Astyanax mexicanus: one gene and its partner. The protein of the gene in region 2 interacts with the protein of the main gene of each other region in a pairwise test. Links are inferred from orthologs where the notes say so. Each region holds a gene or a part of one and is shown on either strand. Other genes may lie near its edges.

Region 1 (12,004 bases), on a different chromosome or scaffold from region 2:
TTGACTTGACCAAATATTAAAGATTTAAAGATTGCAGTCATGTTAATTTGCTAAACGTTGTAAATGTTTAACATTTGTTCTGCACATTTTAGTCACAATTTCCATTATCAATAAAATTTGCAAAAAAAAGTAAATAAAAATGAATCATTCAATTAAAAAAAAATTCCATTTTCCACAATCTGCTGAACTAAATATCTGCAAATAAAAAGTAATTGTGTATTATAATGCACAGAAAACTACATCAGTCATCATTTTAATTTAACAAACAGGGGTGTCCTAATCAGTTTTTGGCAACACAATTTCAGTACCTTAATGAGGAAAACACATCGTTACCAACTCCCATGCCACCTGGTGCACTCCTCTTTCTAAACAGCTAGGAACAGAGTTGCCATGTCCAGCAAAAATATTCGTATTCTAATATTTAAATTATGTTTAAACCTACAAAAGCTTAAACTGTGTTGTTAATTGATTCTCAAATAAACTTCCTTCATTACTTCAGATCTTGTTTGAATTTTCACCCACAACTATAGTTTTAAACAAGGTCAATTTGATGGGAAAACCGTGAACGTGAAAGTTAGAACGTAATAATCACGCACCAGAAATCAGTAAATACTGGCACCAACAACTTGGAATTGAAGTGTAAAAAAATGTTCTACCTACTGAAAAGAAAAAAAAAAATTATACATTTATTTCAAATTTTTCTCATTTTCTCCCCCATTTTGCACAGTCAGATACCGAACCCACTCATTAGGACTCTCAACCCCCTCCTCCCCCATCCAGAACGTGCACAGGCTCAGGTAGGGTCGGACTGAATTTTTTTTGGGGCCTAATCTAAGCTTGTGAAACATAAATAGGCAAATTAGGGTGGCCACAGGTATTTCAAACAGAGCAATAACTAAATGCTTTCTAGCAAAATGACACCTTTAAAAAGTAAAAGTAGTAGGCTGATTAAAGGTATATTTATTTTCATCACAGATGTGGAAACTAGTGCCGAGTGTTGCTAAATGCTTAAAGTTCACGTGTTCTTTTAGCAATGTTCTTGTTGGAGTAAAAGCTAAAATAACTTCTGCTTTTCTGTTTAACATCTTCCCACATTTTCTGTGATTGAACTAAAATGAACAATATCTTTAAAGCAATTGTTCAGATCCAATTCTTACGTTTACAAAGAAATAAAACAAATACATAATTTTTTTCAAGTTTTTCTTCTTGTGGCCTGTTATGCTTTCTAATTATATACAGGTGGGCCTTAAGTTTGAAAAGATTAAGAATCCCTGATTTAAACAATACATGCCTTCATATTTATAATACAGCTAAACAGCTTTATTTTAAAGTTTAATTAATATTTTATGCTGACTTACAAGCAAATCAGATCATTGTTTTATTTTAGAATGCTGCAACAATAAATCACATTATTTTGGATGTGCATCCTCTACAAGGACACACTTCTGCACAGTGTTACTGTTGTTTATTGAACTGAACAGGTTTGCAAAAACTATTCTAAAATCAAAATATGCTATGTTCAAAAAGTAATGGCACATTAAATACAATATTCGCACACCCTTAACTAATTTGTGAAATTCAGTAAATAAATTGAATGTCTAAACACGTATACTAAATCTATACTATAATATTTACAAATGTAAATGGCACACAAAAAACTTTCCAATACCAATATCCAATATGTTTTTCACTATATTTTCCTTTGCTCATATTTTCATTTTGTGGGACCTAAAAACATACCTGGATTTATGTTCGAGCAGCATTTATGAGATAAAAGGAAAACTTTTGAGAAAATGTCATTACTTTAAGATGAAAACTTCAAACATAAGATAAACCTGACATACTGCTGCCAGGAACTGAGAGGGGGAAAAGTAAACAAGCAATTTCCCCCCTTTCCTACCTGCCAGAAACAGGCTTCCACAGCACAGTGCAGATTAATCAGGGCAAACTGTGAATTTATCACCTACACTGCTCTCCCATTTGAATCCTGCAACTGTTCCAGCCATCACCCGCTGCACAGAGGACGGTTCTGGGTCAGAGTCAGTTTGATCCTTAAGGGAAAGAGAGATACATTCACCATATACTTAGACTTGACCATATCTTGCTAAATAAAGCCTCAAGCAAGAAGCAGAGCTGCTCATTCAACACACAGCCCTGTGTGCGTTCAAACTGCATAGGCCAAAAAAAAAGAAAAAAATACAAAAACAAAACAAAAGCAATCAAGCGATGATGTGTGAATATGGCAATTCAGATAAGTCCCAGAAGTAAACATTTGACTGAGACCTACAGCAGGTTAATCTCGCACAAAGTTTAAAGCATGTGGCCGGTTTGAAAGATCAAGCACAGTAGTATTAACCTTGTCTGAAGATCCACCCTTAAATGCATCTTCATCATCTTCCTCTATAATCTTCATAGGTTTGGCTGCAGTTTTTCGCCCCTTGTCCGTTTTATTTTTGTCGTCTGAGGCATGTGCCTGCAAAATGAACAACAAGATGAGCTAAGAGGGGTTTCAATGAGACATGGACAATGTTTTGATGCAATTTTTAATGCGGGTCTAAATTATATTATAATAACAGTTTCTGGGTGTATGATGTACACTGTCGATAGTAGATCACCTTGGATAAAAAAGACAAAAGAAACAAATTAAACAAATTAGCATAACAATACAATAAGTACAATAAGTACAGCTAAATGAGAAATTCTTTCAGTTTTATCATCCATTTGATTTTCCTCCTCGTGTTTCTTAAAAGCAAATAAATTACTGCAGATAACAGAGCTCCATTTAGCACAATCTATGTATAAATCACATTCTCATATACTTCAAAACAACAGTCAGCAGCCCTGGTCCTGGAGTCCCAATGACTGGCACATGTTGCGTCTTATGTTATTATTTACAGTCAATTTAACTAAGTAAGATCTTGTTAATGGTGAATTAGCTTGGTTAGGTGTGCTGGGATCAGCAAAGCACAAAACTACCTTGAACAGTTGGCCTCAAGAAGTAGGGTTAATGACCATTGACATACAATCTCACTTCCTAAACAAATTAGCTGAAAAACGTTGAATAGATCAGAATGTTGTAGCAATGGATTTAGTTTACAATTCCTCAGAAGAGGCAAAATCTACCCTATACTATAAAAAGCTGCGTTTATACAAAAAAAATGCCAAGTCCAGGGAGTAAAGAAAACGGGATCTCATCATTCAGGATCTGCAGGTGTGAATGTCCAAGTCTTTACGACATAGTGGGTGGTCCTGTTTAAATGCGTGAGACTATGCATATACAGTTGTGTACTAAACTGTGTGCACCCCTATTAGATGTGTTAATACATTTTAAAAGAGCACCACACCTTAGTTCTGATCTTAATTTCTCACTGCAAAGCAAAATAGAGGTTATCATCTTGTCCATCACTTTGTCACACTTACCTGCTCTTTCCCCTTAGCTTTCTTCAGGTACTCTTCGACAGCGTCAACAGCCTGCTGAAACCGCTTGCCTTTGTTTATCTTGATCATCTCCTCCTTGTGGGGGTGGTACGGCTTCAGCTGTTCAACCTTTATCCAGGCACTGTAGGGAAATGAGGAATATCTCATGTGAACATACACTTATTTGACACAAACAAAAACAGATTAAACAAAAATAAGTTTGTACTCACTGATCCTCAGTCCCGAAAAACTTCACAAAGAAGCATTTTTTGCCTCTGGGCTTCTTTAGGTCCTTTGGGGGGCTGACAACCTGTAATGAGAAGGATGGTTTCAGGATCAGAAGCTATAGATGATGGTAGAGTCACTAAAAGCCACAGGGGCGAGATATGGAGGAGTGGTGGTAGCAGTTTATAGAGTGAACGTACCTTCCCAGGCCAAGGAGGGTACCGGCCAAGCTTTCCCCTAAAACACACGACAAGGAGGGAGGTTAGGTTCAATTAAAGCTTGAAAACACATAAGAACAGGAGCAAAGTTACTTCATGTTGCACAGTTTTTTTTTATTTTAAATATTCCGTTCCACCTTAAAATGACACCGCTACAGTAATCACATTCTGAGCCAGAGGAGCCAGACTGTAGCGGATTTAACTAAAATTTAAGGTGGAACGGAACATTTAAAACCCACGAAGCCAACTCTACCAGCTTTACTAAACGACAACGCAGCTTGGCTGTTAGCTTAGCAAGCCAAGCCCAGCACCTCCACTGCCCACAGGCCCGCATTCCGACCACAGAACCACTAATAGCCACCAGAAACACATTTATAATGCATTAATGTTAAAATTAGAGGGCTGGTGTCTTGTTTTACAGCGGTAATCCGGACCCAGCGCTCACTCCGCAGGTTAGCCTCGTTAGCCAGCTGGCTAAAACTGCCCCTCTCAATGTTTGGGTTCGCGGCTGCTGCTGCTGAACGCCTTTGGCCTAAAGCAGTCCGCGCCGTCAAAACAGCAACAAAGTCGGCGTGTTTAACGAGTCCCGGGCGCTAAAGGAGTTCCACAGCAGAACAGAGCGAGTTTACAACAGCAAAAACTCACCAAACCAAATCCCCGATCCGCAGATGCACCGTCGCCATCTTAACCCTTTACTAAAGACGCACTGAGCGCAGGGGAGACGCACACCCACACACGTCACTACCGTAGATATCCCACTGGGCGGGTCTTCAGAGACCATCGATATCTACACGCAACTAGTTATGGCACGCTAGTTTAGCGGTAATGTGTTAATATTACGGTTAAACTGTGCTCTTTTATTTTAAGTTATTAGAACATTTAGAAAAACATAGAAACAACGTATAATCATGGTTGCATTACATACAAAGAAACCTTTACCTTTTACTGTTACACAATACTGCAGTGTATATATATTTACAGAGTTAACTACTACTACTTCTACTACTACTACTAATAATAAAGATAATAATAAAAACAATGAAAATAACAATAATATTAATAATAACAATAATAATAATAATAATAATAATAATAATAATAATAATAACAAATAATGAATACTTTGCTATATAACTTCAAAACACGGTATAACATATATATATATATATATATACACACTGTTTTTTGTAGCTTTTTTATTGTCATCTTAGCAATGACTGCTCTGAAACTTACTCCCGTGTTAAGCAGAGATAAAGGCATTGTTGCCATGTGGTTTAGCCATACATCTTCATCTGTAATTTCTCAAAAAAAAAAAAAAATTATACTTTTAATATTTACAAAGTGTAAATGTGCTGTGTGTTGTCTAAATGCTGCAGTAGATGCAGTAACGTAATCGGTTTCAGCAATGTTGTACAATAAAGTGGTTTGTAAACCATATATATATATATATATATATATATATATATAAAATACTAATATAGTAATAACTTTTATTTTGACGGCTAGTTAGATGTAACGCCACTGGAAGAACCGGTTTATACATCCATAGACATCGACTGACGCCGTCCGCCATATTGGAGGAGGCAGCCCTGCGCCCCCACTGCATTAATTTACACTGAGGAAGATATTTAATACGCCTTTAAAATCACAAATCTACCAGTTTATACCCAATTTTCACCATTTTGGTTTGTTACAAACAGCAGATATGTAGTTGATTTAGGACGCTGTTATACATTACAAATATGTGCTTTTGTGCTGAAATACTGTACACTTTTCTCTTTAATAAGACCTTTAATAGGACAGACATGGTTTGGCATATTAATAAGTGTATAAATTAATTGATTTTATAATAATATGTACGTACATACCCATATATACATAAACTCACACAATGCGTTTTCTTTATTTTTATGACTATTTACATTGTAGATTCTCACTGAAGGCATCAAAACTATGAATGAACACATGTGGAGTTATGTACTTAACAAAAAAAGTATATAAATAAATATAAAAAATTATATTCTAGTTTCTTCAAAATAGCCACCCTTTGCTCTGATTGCTGCTTTGCATGCTCTTGGCATCATTCTCTCAATAAGCTTCAAGAGGTGGTCACCTGAAATGGTTTTCCAACAGTCTTGAAGGAAGCAGGTGTTTAGCACTTGTTGCCCCTTTTCCTTCATTCTGTGGTCCAGCTCACCCCAAACCATCTGGATTGGGTTCAGGTCCGGTGACTGTGGAGGCCAGGTCATTTTTTGTTAAGTTTATAACTCCACGTGTTCATTCATAGCGCCAATCTAAATCTCTTAGCGCCAATCCCGGAACCGGTTCAGGGAGAAGGTTCTGTCTCTCAGCCACTGACCTAGCAAAATCCACCGGAGGTTGGTAGTCCAGGTCCAGAAAATAAAAATCCACCCTGGATGGGATTTTTTTTTAAACTATTGTAAACAGAAATGTTTTAAACATACACCTACCTATCTCCATTGTACTTAATTGGTGGTGTTCCATAGACAAATTCCAACCACTTGTTGCATAGATCTGAATTACTGGGCAAAGCATATAACACTGATGTTTTATTTGCACAAATAACACAGGAACAAACTGCCATTCTCTTCCTAGCGCTGTTAGTTCCTATTTGACAAGATGTGCTTTGCTGTGTTGGCTTCTGCGCTGCCTGTGGGTGGTCGTGAGACAAGGTGGGCAAGGCCATGAATACTAATTCACGGGTTGACGTAGATGGCAATGGAGATTGAGGAAGAGTTTCATGTGCAGCATCATATACAACTCAGAGAGTCCTATTATATTATATTTATAAAGAACAAGACATTTTTTTAAATATTTTCTGCCACTGGCTCCTTAGTGAGGAGAATACTAATATCAAACCTGACACAAATATCCATTATTTTTGAGAGAATATTTTTTTTTTGTGTTGCATAGCTTTTTTTTTAAAATATGATAAATTAAGGTTTTGAATTAATAAAATAACTTGTATATATGATATTTTGCCTAAATAAGAATAAAAATAACAATGTAATATTGTTGCATTGTATTCTTTTTATGATGATCGGAGCTAAACAATACATTGACTAAATATAGGTAAAACTAACCAAAAAGTGGAGCAGAGTTTCAGGGTAAGAAACACAAAATTAAAAGTTGCTACTGATATCCTTTTAAAACAGAGGATAGTACTTTACATGACACTCTCTGCATGAATGAGGCTGAAACAGACCACACATCCCTTTGAAGAGTATACACAAGTGCATTTAATGTCATTTATTTGACACATTAACACTTTTGTACAAACACAAGTTTTCCTTCAAATTAAATATTAGATTTATTATTAAATATATAAAAAAAGTTAAATATTAAATATGTTAAATATTAAATACAGGGCTTGAGACCAATTATTTGCACTGGTTGCGCAGGAGACTTTTATTATGGCATGTAGCGTAGTAGATTAGCTGCAATAACTAACGGCAAACCGGCGACGCTAACTGACGTTAACAGTGTTTTTTAATCATAGGTTGATTTCTTAGTAGGGGTGTGCCATGTCGTGTCGTACACGATAATATCGTCAACATTTTTGAATATTGTATTGAATATCGTATTATTTCCTGAAATATCGTGCCATATCACCCACCCCTAAAAGAAAATTCAGACTGTTCTCATTTCTCATTATATATCTACTAGAGACAGATTATATCATTTATTTTACTTTAGTCCTGGATATATGGAGTGCATTATTATTATCATGACATTCTGGATCATTGACTTCTGTTATAAATCTGATAAAATTGTTGTACTTCTAAATATCTTAATTAGGGGTGTGCCATATCATGCCTTTTCGTATGCAATAATAAAATTACAAAATTGTAATTTTGTTGCAGGAGTGTATTCTTGAAATATATATTTTTAATACAGTGTTTTGTCATATCGCCAAGAGTATCATTATCGTGAAAATGCCATGAAATATCGTGATATTATTTTAGGGCCATATCGCCCACCCCTATTTCTTAGTACTGGTTAGAGTGGGTAGGATCTGTGGTTTGATATTCGATGTGGATTATGGCTGAAGTTCACCTGAGATAGTTACTTATTATTACCTTCACAATGCCGGACAGCAGCTGAAAGCCCGATGCTAGCTAGGCTAACAGACTGCAGATCTTAATGGAGATGGCTAACAGCTAACTGGCGATGCCAGCTGTATTTCCGAACTAAATTAATTGCTGTTTTTACCAACAGATGGGTGTGTTTGTGCTGGTTAGTGTTTGTAGATCCTGTGGTTTTATAGAATATTTGAATTATGACGATAGTTTAATCCAGTTTGTAGTTAATACCTTTACAACACCAGAATACAGTTGTCAGCTAAAGTTTACTCAGTCAGCCGCAGACTGAAGCTGCTGGGGGTTCAGGGTAAACTGTGGAACTGGAATCCGGATCAGTGATGCGTTTTGTGTTAACATCATGGCGGGTTTATTTTCCAGCTCAAGCTGTGGACTGGAATATGGATTGGTAAGTGGATCGGACACACTCGCCTGATTTACGTTTCGTTAAATTACGTCAATATCGGCCCCGATATTGTATCGGATCGGTCCCATCTCTATATATTATATTTGAACCTAGTAATATGACGAGTCAGAAAGGCCTCATTTACATACACTCCTCTCTGTGAACTTAAACTTACTTTGAACACCCCTCTTACCAGAAGTTTATCACCCCGACCTTTACTGTAGTCCAAGCCTTCATCTTTATTATTTACTCTGCTACTGATAATAATTTGATATATGGGTAACCTTCAAATGCAGAAAGAAGACATGAAAACATGGTACTCCAGTTTGCCCACATGTATTTTATTTTGAAAAACAGTAGAAACACAGGTTCATCTGATAGTGGTTAATAAAGGAACATTCAAAGTGTCATGAGGACGTACTGTAGCATACAAAACATGCTGTATTTGAAAATGGATGGTTTCGCTAAGTAGCCTATTTATTAAGAACATGTTAAGGACAGTCCCAGATAACACTCAGCCCGATCAATCAGAACGCCTTCAAGAAGAACAAAAAGGTGTTTTAGCCTAGATATTCTCCCTATTAGCTCAAAAATCAGAAACCAAAGCAGAGAACAGACAGGTGATATTATTGTCTCTATAATCTGAAAACCCACAGAAAATAATAAGAACTTTAAAGAAGTAAAGTGTCAGAATAAAATAAAACTAGACAAAAACATATTGGGTGATTATTTGCTCTTCCCCGAAATCATGACGCCAAACTCCTGGATGCTGATCTCTTTGTTCTTGTACTGCTGTAGCTGACGGTTTGTGATGTTTCCAGACCGTAGGGCATCCTCGATGGAGAACTTCTTGCCTGATTTTCTGTCATGAAGAACAGACGTTTCCCCGTTTGGACCCTTGTTGGTGATCTCTTCCCAGTCGCATTCTTGACTCTGGAGGTTGACGAACATCTTCCAGTCGATCAGGCCCAGCTTGTATGCCTCTTCGGGCCGCATCTCTTTTCCGGTGTCTGGATCGATGACGACAATGGAGCGGCGGAGATGGCTTTCTCTTTGCTCTCTCTTCACCCTTACTGTAGAAAGGTTCTTCTGTAGCCTTTCGATTTCTTCTTCTTTCTCTGTCGTGATGCGTCTCAGGTCAGACAGCTCTTTCTGTAGAGACGCTACCCGGATTTCAAGGTTCTTGCTGCTGTCCACTGGAAGAGACTCTGTGATCTGTCTGGTTTCCTTTGTGGTGATCTGGATCTCAGCCTGAAGTTTCCGAATTTCGTTCTGGAGACGTTGGTTCTCCTGCTGGAGTCTGTTGCTCTCATCACGGATGTAGTCCAGCTCTTTAGACGACTTTGTGTTTGTGAACTCGATTTCGGTCAGTCTGGACGTGATAGTGGTAAGCTCCAGGTCCAATTCTTGCCGGCGTCTTGTTTCTTCCTCAAGGCTTCTCTTCAGCCTCTCGATTTCAAGTTCAGCTTCGGGATCTTTCTCGACCTGAACCTTCTCTGTGCGGACAACTTTTTCGCGGACCTCTGTCCTCTCGAGTGTTTCTTGTTTCTGAATCAGAGCATTGTACTCTTTCTCCAGAAGGACGCGCTTGTGCCTCTCTTCCTCAACCTGGAGCCGTAGGATGGAATGTTCTTTCTCCTGCTGAGGATCTTGCTGCAGGACCACCTTTTGTTTCACTGTGACCTTCTCTCTGTTCTCCTTGTCCCTGATCTCCAGCTCATTGAGCCGAACTCTCAACCTCTGAATTTCCAGCTCAGCGTCTCTACGGGCTCTGCGTTCACGCTCAAGTTCCTCCAGCTGGAGCTCAAGATCATTCTTTAGACGTTGAAGCCTGACCAGCTCCTCTTTCAAGAGCTCCCTCTGTCGCACTTCATTGTTAATCTTTTCAGTGAAGGTGTCACATTCAGATCTCAAGACTGGATCCTGCTCCATCTTCACCACCTCTTGCTGCACAACCTTCTCCCTAACCTGAGACAAGTCAATCTTCCTAATCCTGATCTTCTCTTCACCGGAGGCTCGTTCTCTCTCCAGGTCCAAACGCTTCCTCTGTTCCTCAGCAAGTTTCCGCTTAAGGGTTTCAATTTCTTCTTTGGTTTTAGGGTCCTCTCTGTACTGGAGGACCTCATTAACCACCTCTTTGGTCTGAATCTGAGGCTTGGTGTCTTTCCACCTCTGAATCTCATCCCTCATTTGGATGATCTCAAGTTCACACTTCTCTGTCTGATGGGTCTTGTCCACAATTTCATTTCTGAGTTTCTCCAGCTCTCTTTCAGTTTCAGGGTCAGTCTTGTACCTGATCACCTCCTTGATGATTTCCTTGTATTCGATCTGTGGGCCTCTGTTCTTCAGCACTATCAGCTCGTCCTGGAAGGACTTCAGCTGAAGTTCAGAATCTCTGCACCTTCTCTGCTGTTCCACAAGTTCTAGTCTGAGATTGGCCACCTCGGTTTCTGCCTTGGGATCTGGTCTAACAATCTCACGCACCTTCTCTTGGATGATAACCTTTGACTTTTCCTCCTCAAGGCTTGTGATCTTCCGCTGAATGTCAGTTCTCTCTCTCTGAGAGGACATTCGTTTTGCCTTTTCATCCTCGAGCTGCCTTCTCAGGTTTTCAACCTCCCTCTCCAGGGCAATGTCTTTCTCCACCTTAAGAACCTCTCGAATGGAGATTTTCTCCTCAGCCATGGCCTTTTCCTTCTCCAGGCGCCTCAGTTTCTCTTGCAGGAATCGAAGCTCATCCTCAAGCTGTTTTCGGTTATCAATTTCCTTCTGCTTCCGCTCAAGGAGCAATCTGTACTCGCTCTCAAGCTGAGGATCATTTTGAATCTTGATGACTTCTTCCTCTTTGATAACCTCCTGCTCTTTGGTTTTCTCTGCAGCAAGCACAGTTATTTGCTTCTGAATCTGGATGACTTCATTATCCTTTACTATCTTTTGCCTCTTGATTTCCTCCAGCTCTTCCCTCAGCTTCCTCACTTCCTCCTCCTGTCCTCTGTCTCTTTCAATGCGGAGGACCTCCTTGACCGTATACTGTTGAGCACCTTCCTTCATTTCCGTCTCAATGCCTCGCAGCTTTACCCGGAGTGTGTCCAGCTCACTCTCCAAGATACGGGTTGTCCTGCGCTCGTCTGAGAGCTTCTGCTGAACTTTGTTCATTTCTTCATCCAGCTGAGGATCAGGCACCTTCTTGATCAGCTCTTTCTTGACAATTGTGTCTTGTGGTTTTTGACCTTCCAGCACGTAGATGTCATTTTGAATGGTTTTAATTTCATTCTCTAGCTGCTGTCTCTTCAGAATTTCTTCATCCAGCTGCTTCTTGATTCTCCAGGGTTCATCTCCAGGAGCGCTGGCCTTCACAGACTGAACATTCTGCTGGACTATGTGCACCTCTGGTTGCTGTACAATGGTAAGGTAACATATATTTGGTTATCAAGGAATATTTAAAACAATCAAAGCCATACTTAATTTATTTTTAGTTGCCAATGTGCTGTACTGCCGAACCTGATTAAGCAGACTTTGTGCAAACTCCAAGTTCTGCAGTCGTTGTTTGTTCACTGCATTTACTTCTGTGAATTTGGCCTCAATGGCTGCTTCCTATTATACAAAATAAATATATATATATATGTATAATACAGAAA
Region 2 (12,234 bases):
TGGATATCAAAATTTCCTGGTTCCAAGTATTTCCTACAAGAAAATCTGCGGGAGTCTTACCAACCCAGAGCTTAGGATCCAAGATGGCTGCACTGCACAGCAACAGTAGTAAGATTAGTAGTATTTTCACTTTTATCTATTTGTGTCTTATTAAATCAGTTGTACACAGAGCACTGTCTAACATCTATCTGTGGGCTTGTTTTTATGGTGTTTAGATGTGCAAAATACCTTGTAATGCTTTGTTATCAACAGGCCTTGCTAGCAAAGCTAACCTGGGACCAGCTAATAATGATAGCCAGAATGCAGTCATTCTCAGCTCCAACATCTGGTAAATGGAACGCAGCATAAAACTGATCTTATCGGAACTTCAATACAAGAAAAGACTTCCTTCTAAAGGTCATCCTAATGACCTTCTACCAACAACCAAGAAGACAGAACACGTTACCTCACTAGCAAGACTTCAGAAGAGAATTTGAATTAGATTTGACAGTGAAATCGCTTGTAAAGTCATTAGGTGTAGGGTCAGCAATTCAGGGTCATGGTATGTTTTTGTATGTGCTTTATATTATATTTTTAGATGCACAAAACAAAGAATGTGTATATCATTTATAGACCACTATTACATATATCTCTAACATAAAATATATATTTTATATAACTCATGCCAGTCTCTATTCTAGTATGTAAATGTATCTTGACAATAATTCCGTTTAGTTATGATTCTTTATTTAAATGTACAGTACCTGATAAATCTTGAAAATGTTTCTTTTGAGCTTATTTTAATACAGTTCAGTTTTTTAATAACACATCAATGTACAAATGTCACTGGAGACTGTTTTAACAACAGTGGAATATAGACTTTTGAAAGAATGTTATTTTAAGCTTTATTTATTATCTTTTTTTTTTACTTTGATATATTTGGAGGAAAGCACATATTTTGTTGATTATTATTAAAATGAATTGTTACATAAAATCAGATAATTGCTCCAGTCTGATTCATATTTTATATCCCTTGTATTTTTAGATATTTTTTTATTAACGTAAAAGTTACTGACACATAACGTATCATGAGACTAGTACAGTAGAAGAGCAGAGGCAGAAAAGCATGATCCTGCCGCCCCCATGTTTAACAGGTGTGATGAGGTGCTTATGCCCATAGTTATTTGAAGTTTTGCTTTACATTGGAAGGCACTGAGCTTGATCTTCAGTTTGGTAATCAGATAAAACACAGATTCACAGGTTAGACCATAATATATTGCCACTGTGCAACCATTGAATGATCTCATAGAAGGATGTACTGGTAACAAATATTAAACATCCTCCAACAGTTTTTTTTTTTCTAACATGAAATCACTTGACAGCCAAGTACAGATGTTTCATGGTTTTTAATATAACTCACTGTCCTTACAGCTTTCCCTATACTGCAGTAAAAAAAAAAAAAGAATTATGAGACTGTGTATACATGACTTTTTAGATATTCAGATAACAGCAGAAGTCTGATCATGACCAGATTATTGAGTGCATGTTTTTTTTTTTTTTTTATTAAAAAAAACTTTTAATATCAAAAAGGACATCTCTTGTGAGCAGGTATCCAACATCTGAAGCAATAACTATGCATAAACACATGTATACAAAACAAAACAAAAAAACTTTATTGCCATATGTACATACAATATGATACAAAAAAAGCATTTGTGAATATAAGGAATCAGATTGAAATGTATTATACACTATGGGTCAGTTTTCCATACAGGGATTAAGTCTAGTCATAAGATAGATTTTCCATATTCACATCTGCCCCATGAAGGCTATTTTTAAGTCATTATATTTCCATCTCAGCAATTAAGGGATTAATGCAAGCTGCTTTACCCAAATCAAACCAAATTTTAACAAGTTTACTGAATGTAACAATACAGATTCCAGTTGATGACATGGATTAAAGTTTGGGCTTAATCATTGGTTACCAATCGTAGTCCTGGAGGACCACTGCCCTGCAGGTTTTAGGTGTTTTCCCCTAATTTTAACCCACCTGACCAACTAATGAACTAACAGACGAGTCCTTGCTTAAACAATCTGTGCATTCTCAACTCAAGACCTGGTTGACAAGCAATGATTTAAATAAAACAGCATTTTGTGTCAGAAACTCTCCCATGCTTAGATTAACTGGTTACATGTATAAACCAGAAAGTAATAAATCACTGTCCAAAAATCAAGGGAAATTGAAGTTTGCATCTTGTGTAAGTTTATAAACATGTCCACAGCATGAAATTAACCCTTCATTTAAAGTCCCAAAATTTTCACTTAATGGTTCTCTGATCCTTCTTCATCTTCTTCCTCATCCTCATCATCATCTTCATCAGAGTCTTCTTCACTTTCACTGTAGTGAACCGTGGCTCGGTTTGTGTTCACAAAAAGGTCACTGTCATCCTCAGAGTCACTGCCGCTGCTCTCTTCTTCCTGCTCCTCACTGTGGTCCTGTCCGTTCTGTGGTTCTTCCTTTACCTCCTCAGACTCGCCACCTGCCTCGAAACCTTTTGGCCTGTATGACACATTAATCAGTTTAGTATACTGCCAAATTTTAGATCAAAGTACATTTCTATTATACAGGTATACTGGACAACAAATGTGAAGTCACAAACAAAACCTTTAGATTAGACTCACAGTTAATTATGTATTTATCACACACAGAAATCAGAATGTTTAAGTTATGTTATGCTGAGCCATGGAAATTCAGTTTCTGGTTTCTTTATGTACTGGTATTAACAGATATGTGCAGAAAAAAATACCAGTTTACACCAACCCACATAAGTTTCCATCTCTATTTACCCTGCCAAAATATAAACAAAATGATATCTACTGAATGACAATATAGACCAGCCAATCAAAGGAATCTACATCCCAAATGTGATCATTTTGTACTTACCAGACACCCAGTTTCCTCAGGTACTGGATATGGTCTCTATAGAGTATAAAGCTTATCTCTCCTTTCACTTTGTCTCCCTCTTCAATAGGGTCTACGATCACAAAATCACCTGCAAGAAATAACACAGCCAAAAAATGATTTGGTAAATATTTTAAAATAACCTTCTTGGTCCCTGCTTGTCTCAACACACCTGATTCAACTCTTTATAGAGTTGTTTTAAAGCAGGGAATCCTCTAAAATGTGCAGGGCAGGGGTGTGCCAGGATCAGGACTAAGAAACACTAACACATTTTAAGAATTCTAATGGAGCCAGGCCTTAAAACCAACCTCTTTTGATCCAGATGTTCTTACGAAACTTTGTGGGCATGCTCAGCAGAAACTTCTCACCACTCTCAGTTACGGCCTCATGGAGGTTGTTGCCATTGCTTCCCTGGATCTGCAAGAGAGAGATTACACTTTAACTGAATAAAGAGTTTAAAGAGTTCTTATTTACAACAGTGCGCTGTTCTTCCTACATTATTTATGAGTAGAGATATTAAGCTTGCCCTGGCTTACCCTCATGATCTGCTGGCTCTCACTGGGTGTTACGTAGTCTTGAAGAACCTCCTTGACAACATGTTTGCGTTTGGTTGCTCGGGACATGTTTGACAGTGAGAACGGTGATATCTGATGTCTGTGAAAGTAAAATTATTTAGGCAAAAATTAGCAAAATTTGCAACAGCTCTTCACAGACCCACTTTTTTTTTATTTAGTCCTTCCAAAAATGCACTAAATTGGCAAAGGCATTCATTCACTCATCCAAATCATTGAACTCAATGTGTTGCTCTCAGGAGCTCAGTAAATTCCAGCATGGTACTGTGATAGGATGCCTCCTGTGCAATATGTCCAGTCGTTAAATTCCCCACAACTAAATATTCCACAGTCAATTGTCAGTGGTGCTATAACAAATGTAACAAAGTGCCTGGGATTGACAGCAACTCACTTTGTAAGTGTAAAATAAAAGATGGAGCTCAAAAGATGCTGAGAAGCATAATGTGCAGAGGTTACATCTTTCTTCAGAGTCATTCACTACAGACCTCCAAAATTAATGTGGTCTTCAAAATATATGTGTGTAATATACAATGTACGTAATAAACATGACAAAATATTTTAAGGTATTTCACTATTCTTTTTTACAGAACTAATTGTCAAAACTAGTTTTATAGAATGGAAAACATTTCATTAAAGCTGTAGAATTAAGATAAATGGAACAGAATTAAACAAAGCTATATATATATATATATATATATATATATATATATATTAGGGGTGGGAATCGATTACTATCTCACGATTCGATTCGATTCCGATTTTGGGGGCCACGATTCGATTCAAAATCGATTTTTGATTCAAAACGATTTGAATTATAAAAATTTCTGCTTCTGGCTTATGAATCTTATTGAAAAAAAAACCCTCCATAATATACACTGGTCCTGGAGCAAGTAATGTGTTACAAAAACAATAAAATGTGCAGGAATGTGGGTCCTCAGTGACAGAGGAATCACTGGGATATCACAATGACGTTAATGAACAATAAATAAATAATAAATAACACTGCTTTATTACCAGGCTACTAGCGGTGGTGTGTAGGTGACGCTGCTGGGCTGATGTGATGATAGCAGTGGAGCGCTAAAGTTCAGGAGCAGCTGCTGATTAACTAGTTAATTTAAGGTCGTTGTATTTCTTCAGAAAGGGGGCAGGAGGTGGAGAAATTAATTCATATTGTCCATTCCTTAATTCCTCTGTGATGAGGAGCTGAAATGAGCTCTGATTAGCTTATTGTTATTTTTCCGTTCCGCCTTAAATGCTGCAGCCCGCAGCCACCTGTAGCGTTATTTAAGGTGGAACTGGAAAGTTAGCTTGTTAGCTAGCTAACAGTTACTGAAACTAACTACTAGCGATCTTTTTTATGCTTGTTATGAAGCATTCTGCCATAAAACATTAAAACTACACGTTAATCTAAGGTAATATAATGCTTGTTCTGCCATCTTACCGGTGATTCTCAAACACCTACTACGCTCTGTGTGGGTCTGGAAGACCTCGGTTTGAAGGGACAAGCGGGTTGCCAGGTCCAACAAAAATACCCAGCCCAAAATCAGTCCAAAACCCGCCCCTCAGAATCGATTTTGGGACATTTTAAATCGATTCTGAATCGTAGTAAATGAGAATCAAGATTCTTATGTGAATCGATTTTTTGGCACACCTCTAATATATATATATATATATATATATATATATATATACATATACATACGTGTATATACACACACACATTTTATCTACCTTAAAAATGAGCTAGTTTTATCTCCAGCACTAAACCAGCACACCCCTGTAAATAAGTTTTCCCTCACTGTCCTGTGATGCTCTCAGGATGTTCAGTTTGTGTCACTTAGGGACTTATGAGTTAAAGGACAAAAAAGAACTTCAAGGAACTTTACACATCTTTTAAAGATGCTGTGTCCCATACATCACCATGGGTACTTCTGGGATATTTGAAAAGGCTTAATTATAGTTATATTTCTTAACTAAAAGCATCCAGCAACTGTTCTGATTTTTTAAATAATTAAATAAGAAATTGATATACAGCAAACTGTTCCCTTAAATTGATTTCCTACCCCCATATTTACAAATCTTGTTCACAGCTGGATCTGTAGCCTAGCTAACTTCTTCTCTAGCTAGTGAACTTCACCCAGGCCCCAACATCAGCTTCTCCTCTGCCTAACACAGACGACAGAAGACGTTAAAGATACAATTATAATAATCTACAGATCTGTGCGAGAGAATATTTAATGAACAGTTCTTATAGAACACTGCAGTTCAAACTGACGTGCCAACAGAGAATTTACTAGAACAGCTAGCTGCTGGTTAGCCGCTTAGCTAATAACATCTTAAAATAACTGAAAGAAACAGCCTAAACCCACTTTCCCTCCAGAAAATCGTACATTTTTAAATCCACCTACCTAGAAACTCTATATAAGGCTGTGAATGTGTTCTGTGTGGTTTTATTTGGTGCATCGAGAAGAAGTGAACACGTCCTGTAGCTCCTGAACGCGTCGAGCGCATGTGCTGCTCGTTTCCTGCGGCTCCCGTTTGTAACGTGCGATAGCCTTGTGGGTAATGTAGTCAGAATCAGGCGCTCAAAACTACAACGCTCCACATTTTTCTGTAATTACAGCTCTGGAAAAAAATAAGAGACCACTTCAGTTTCTGAGTCAGTTTCTCTGGTTTTGCTATTTATGCTATTTATATGTTTGAGTAAAATGAACATTGCTGTTTTATTCTATAAACTACGGACCTTTCTTACAAATTCCAAATAAAAATATTGTCATTTAGAGCATTTATTTGAAGAAAACGAGAAATAGCTGAAAAGAAAAAACAGATTCAGAGCTTTCAGACTTCAAATAATGCAAAGAAAACTAATATATCAAAATGACTTGATGTCATTTTGATATATTAGTGTCTGAAAATAATGACGTACTTTCTCAAAATAATGATTTAGTATTTCAAAATAATGACATACTTTCCAAATAATAGTATCTCGAAATAATAAATTAGTATCTCAAAATAATGATTTATTATCGAAACATAATGACATACTTTTAAAATAATGAGATAGTATCTCAAAATATAAATTAGTATCTCAAAATAATGACATACTTTTAAAATAATGAGATAGCATCTCAAAATAATTAAATAGTATCTCACAACATTGACTCAGTATCTTAAAATAATGAGATAGTATCTCAAAAAAAAAGAATACTTTCTCAAAATAATGAGACAGTATCTCAAAATAACGAAATAGTAGTCAATATTTTGAGTTACAGAAAAATAATCCACGCCTTTGAACCTGTGTGGGCGCTACAAAGGCAGAAATGACCGCAATAAAAGCATTTTTTAAATATTAGGATTTTTTTATAAAAAGAAACAAATTAAGCAGGACAGGTATGTTCCATTAATTTAGAGGAGCACATTTCAGCTATTAATTAAATAAACATATGGGTTTAGTGCCTTTTTAATACTGAAGACATTAAAGATACACAGGAACATATAAAAGTAGTCAGAGAGTTCTTCAAATTATTGTTGCAATCCAAAGAGTTTATGGAATCCTGTAGAGAAAAAAAACAACACAAACATTTGGGAGATTTGGAACTTTTATTCAGCAGTTTGTTCTAACATTTATGACCATGGACCATGCTTGTCAGTCTTTGAAACCATGCAATAAACAGCATATATTTGCAAAGCAATCAGAAACACATAATACATTATTAATAGTATTGTGCTGTACTGAGTAGTGATGAGTCATGACCTTTGAATACCTTTGAGTTACTTAAAGTGCATTTTAGACCAACAGCAGTTCTGAAGTTTATTCTCAGTTATCATGAAAGAAATACTGCACACATCTGTAAACATTCAGCCCATATCTTCACATTTTCCTATTTAAAATGTTCAGCACACATATGGAGCACCACAGGAGGATATTAATGAATTAATTATTAGTGTTATTAATAACCCTGACTAAATGAAAAAGCACTCAGCAGTGTTTAATGTCTGCTGAACAGCTTCCAGAATCAGTAGCATTACACAGTCCAGCGAGCCCAATTATGACACAGCAATACGGAAATTAATTTCACCCTCTGAATCATCAACACCATGAACTAAAAAAAAGAGAACAATCCCCCCTTCATAAAACCCAGAAGCAAATATTTTCTACAATCTCACTCATTTCTTTCATCATTTCTTCCTGAAACATTATTTAAATATAAGTTTAAAAGTTAGCTCACACAATTAGTAAATAAAAACAAAATAAAACATCAGTATCTAAAAAGATTTAATCTAAGACAATTGTTAAAGAAGGTTTCTTTTTCAAAGCAACTGACTTTATGTAGATCAGCAGGTTGCATGTTCTGTTTGTAACAGAAATAAGAAGAGCTGCTGATGGATCAGCTAAGTTTTCTTTTCTCTCTGCTGGTCCCCTGTTTAAAACAACCAATTCTAACCAATCTAAGCACATGTGCTAACTGTGAGCACAGGATCTAAGTACAGGTACACTGTAGTGCTGTAAAACCTGTTTTTCCCACTAAAACCTCACTGACTAGTTCATGGTTAAAACAAACAAAAAAAATCTAAGCAAAGAACATTTGATCTAGGGCTGTCATTTCTCTTGAGTAACATTTTTAAATAAAACATTTGTTAATTAAAAATAAAGCTGATAGCTGTAAACTGCATGACAATGGAATTTGATCTCACCCATGCCATATCATGTTTTTGGTGTTTTTAAAAGCATCCATTTCATCCTTAACTATTTATGTTTTTGATAATCTGAAATTCCTTTCTTTGAAAGTCCTTTTCTTACTGATTTGCCATAATTACTTTGGTATTTGTCACAATAATTACTAATTATCTGTTACTAATATAGTCTATAGTGACATAATAGACAGTGACAGACTAATTTACGATTGGGGATTGGGAGCATTTAACATTAAAATAAGTACTTGTTCTGTCTACATTCTAGAGTCTAAAATGCTGCATATTAAATATGAGTTTAACAAAACGGTGAGATGGTGAGAAGGTGCTACACCAGCATGGTCAGAAAGGACCATCACAGATGGGTGAGTCTGTGGGCAAAATTGCAGGTGTGAAAAAGCCTATTGACACTATTTTTTTAAACGAAAAGAGGCATGGTAATCCTCCTACAATAACATGCCCTAGAGATGAATACTTCACAAGTCACAGCTTGAGCTAGTGAGAACAACACGCTGATGATGCTAATTATATATGACTGCTTGTGTGTACGTGTGTGTGTGTGTGTGTGTACGGCCACAAATATCCACTTAAACGAGAGTATTATTGTTAATGTGTATGAATGAACATGTTCCTGATTTGTGTTTGTGTCTGTCAGCACTGTGTACACTCTAGAGTTTACTCCTAGTTAACCACCGCAGACGAACACATCTTGTTGATTCCACACAGTCTGGATCCTTTGTACAGGTAGTAGTAACCCTGAGGGGAAAAAAACAAAAGTATTTTTATTAAATTATTCTTAGATTTAATATTAAAATAAAATAATTAGTAAAAAGATTCTTGCTAGAATTACCTAGCAAATGTATTACATTTTTAACTATAGATACTGTAGTTGAGCTGTAGTCAGTAGAAAAGCTACACTTCAGATTAAAGGAAAGGGCCAGCTCAGGGCCAAATCAGGTCCAGCGTGAGACTCACCTGCTCTCCATAGTCTTCTCCCCAGCTGTTCTTAATGGCCCAGAAGGGAATGCCATTGCCTGTGCACAGGTACAGACAAATGTTAAACTTGTGAAGGAAAAATGCACATATTTTCTATTCTAGTTACCATACACTCTATTTAGAACTGTATATTTATTTGACAATAGTGGAATAAGGAAAATATCCTTAAACATTATAGTATTATATAATATTAGTAATTGCTGTACAAGTGTTACACACGTCTTGTGTACTCTTACTACACAAGACGTGTTTGAAAAAACCTGCATGTCTGAACAAAAATGCATCCCGCAGATATGGATGAAGATGAGGATAGTTGTGAGATTTAGTAAATTGCTCTTTGGCAATTATATTTCCTAATATTTTTAATATAAGAACTTTAAAAGGGCATGTCCAAATCTAAAGGAGTTTAATCAGAAAAAAAAACTGACTAATTGTTTATCCCATTTTACACAACTTTTTTGCTGCCAGTAATTAAAATTGTGTGGACATGTCATGGTTAATGAACAAACACAATTGGCTTAGTATAGCGGACAGCCCAGGACTGACCTGCTCTCTAAAACAGGTCTACAATAACTTCAAATACAATCTTGTTGCATTAACCTACATCATACTTTGAGGGTCAGTTTCTCTGACATGGATTAAGGCTAGTCTTAATTAAATGAATTATGTGACTAGGCTTAATCCCTGTCTGAGAAACCGACCCTAATAGAGATTTTTAATTCTCATTTTCAGTTATCATTTCAGAGACACAACATTTGTTAAGACAGAAAATGTAGTCGAGGTTTTTGAATGTCAATTTCACAAGTAAAACTGTTACAAAAAGAAATAAAACAGCTCTTACGTTCTCCAAATCCAACCAGCAGCACAGCGTGATCAATCATCCAGGGGTTGCAGAATATCTTCAGGGGGTGAGAGACTCCTTTTCTGTAGAACTATAACAACATGGACAGAGTATAAAAGCAGACTGTATTATTTTACTGTTCATAAAATACATTATATTAAGGGTTAGGGCTTGTAGATTAAACACAAACTATGTCGCTATTTAAACAGAGGAGAATTTCAGGATTTAGAACAGTCCAGACGGCAACCAAGTAAACTTCCCATAGCCTTTGACCCACACTGTAAAATGTGCACATTCTTATTATAGATTAAGTCTACAGCTACATTAATTTTAAATCCAATATAATTTTATGGTCAAACATTACAGTTTAACACAACATCCAAACAAAATGGCAACACAGTGGAAGAATATCGGTGATATCAAGCAATAATAAGCTAGAAGTTACCTGCATGGCAAAAGCATTGAGGGCAGCTGAAACAGGGCCGTTCTCAACCAGCCATGCAGCAATATCTGAAACACACAATCGAAATTGTTAGATTACTTAACTTTCTTATTCAAGAAGTTATTCTTCTTCTACAATACAATGTATTAACCATTATTTAAATTTTAGGATGTGGTGTACAATACATATAAAAGTTTATACTCTAGGCATGCTTTTTTGTGATACATTTCAAATTGGTGTTTGACTCCACATTTGTCCTTGTGTTGTTTACAGTTGACTTTACTGCACTTTTACTATAAAACTTTAGCTGTCAATTTAAAGCAGACTAAATAAACTGTCAAATAACCTGTACTGGACTGTCTGGGCCTCATTTTCACTTATCTATGCATTTGAGTACTAGGGCAGTTTTGACTACTGTATCAAATAATTAAAAAAAACATTATTGATTAGTAATGAATAATTCTGAAATGATAATGATGAATTATCATTTTGAATTTCAATATTCCTTCTAATTATTATATTCTGTCTAATTATGACTATTCAATCAGTAATACTATATATTAATTATGACAATTTATTTTAAATATATACTACAGTCAACCAGATACAGTGCATTGATTACTTGATTCGTTGTGATAAGGACTGGATTACCAGCCTACTAATATAATCAAAAGAGACAGTCCTACACATTTACACCTATTAGTTTCTCTCTCTCTCACCATTCTCATCCTTGGACAGTTCTACTGAGCTGTTGATGTATGCCGCCACTTTTCCAGAAGTAAAGCCACAGCTCTGCTTGTGTCCGGTGTAGGTGTAGTCTGTCTCAGTCTCCAGACCTCCTGCAAAGGCATCAAGACAGGTTAGCAATTTTCTATGAGGCAAAAACACTTTCTGTGGCATTATGTTTATGCTACTTTACAAATGACCTGTGGGTTTCTTTCAAACTGACCTACTCTTCACCTTTTAATTTAAATTCTTACCCAGGTTTTCAATAGCTTCATATGCATTAGATGGAAGTCCACCCCCACAAGCCTGGTCCAGTTTATCACAGTCCACCAGCTCTGTAACAGACAAAGTCATATACCACTTATGACATATAATTTTTACATAAACAAAATCAAACATGGCAGTATGGTGTAAAAATGTGAATGTTTCAGAGTTCACTAGTGTTTTTTTTTTCTTACCTTGCTCTGAGAGGGACAACAGCTGTCCAGTCTTTTTGAACCACTGGCCTTCAATGTTTCCAGTGACAGAGAAAGCCCAGCAGGAGCCACACATCCCCTAAAACACACACATACACACAAACAAACAAACACATACACACATCAATCATAGTGAATATTATGCAGTTTTTGGAGCTGCCAGTGATTGTACTTGTCAGACTAGTTTTCACTACAGAAATTGTTGTGTGGTTAAGGCAAAGGGTGAAATTTGTGTAACGCATGCATAAGGCTTTACACAATTTGCTGTAAATTCCTGAGAAACAACATAATCTAACAAAAAAAATAATGTAACAAAAACATCTGTAAATATCACACTAGTAAAATGCAGAGATATTGCAATAATTAATAATTTAGGAATCCAGTTTTGGGAAAACATTTTTTTAATGACATTTTTCATGCAATTCCATACATGACAACTACAATGCCTGTATAGTAAAGCCCCTCAGTGTAAATTGGTTGGTTTTACAACTGATATCTAGATGTATTATTGGCAAATCTTTACTTTAAGATGCAAAGCCCTTTATGAA

What was found.
Region 1: the proteins of eif1ad (region 2) and glyr1 interact in binary tests that used the Homo sapiens proteins (3 or more experiments, as listed by UniProt). The two-hybrid records come from large-scale screens. The link is inferred for Astyanax mexicanus from reciprocal best matches to the Homo sapiens genes EIF1AD and GLYR1.

What each region holds. Positions count from the first base shown.
Region 1 is NC_064426.1:14,526,583-14,538,586, forward strand, and holds the start of glyr1 (putative oxidoreductase GLYR1), read right to left. Parts: upstream 4,605-12,004; 5' UTR 4,544-4,604; coding exon 4,506-4,543; intron 3,880-4,505; coding exon 3,843-3,879; intron 3,728-3,842; coding exon 3,648-3,727; intron 3,560-3,647; coding exon 3,421-3,559; intron 2,474-3,420; coding exon 2,357-2,473; intron 2,052-2,356; coding exon 1,968-2,051; intron 1-1,967. Other genes in the region: ppl (periplakin), read right to left, coding at 9,093-11,762, 11,868-11,960. UniProt on the Homo sapiens protein: Cytokine-like nuclear factor with chromatin gene reader activity involved in chromatin modification and regulation of gene expression. Acts as a nucleosome-destabilizing factor that is recruited to genes during transcriptional activation.
Region 2 is NC_064417.1:37,668,822-37,681,055, reverse strand, and holds eif1ad (probable RNA-binding protein EIF1AD), read right to left. Parts: upstream 6,064-12,234; 5' UTR 5,922-6,063; intron 3,596-5,921; 5' UTR 3,565-3,595; coding exon 3,478-3,564; intron 3,359-3,477; coding exon 3,250-3,358; intron 3,033-3,249; coding exon 2,924-3,032; intron 2,540-2,923; coding exon 2,302-2,539; 3' UTR 1,630-2,301; downstream 1-1,629. Other genes in the region: ctsf (cathepsin F), read right to left, coding at 8,887-8,961, 9,181-9,239, 10,043-10,133, 10,488-10,552, 11,204-11,323, 11,465-11,545, 11,669-11,765.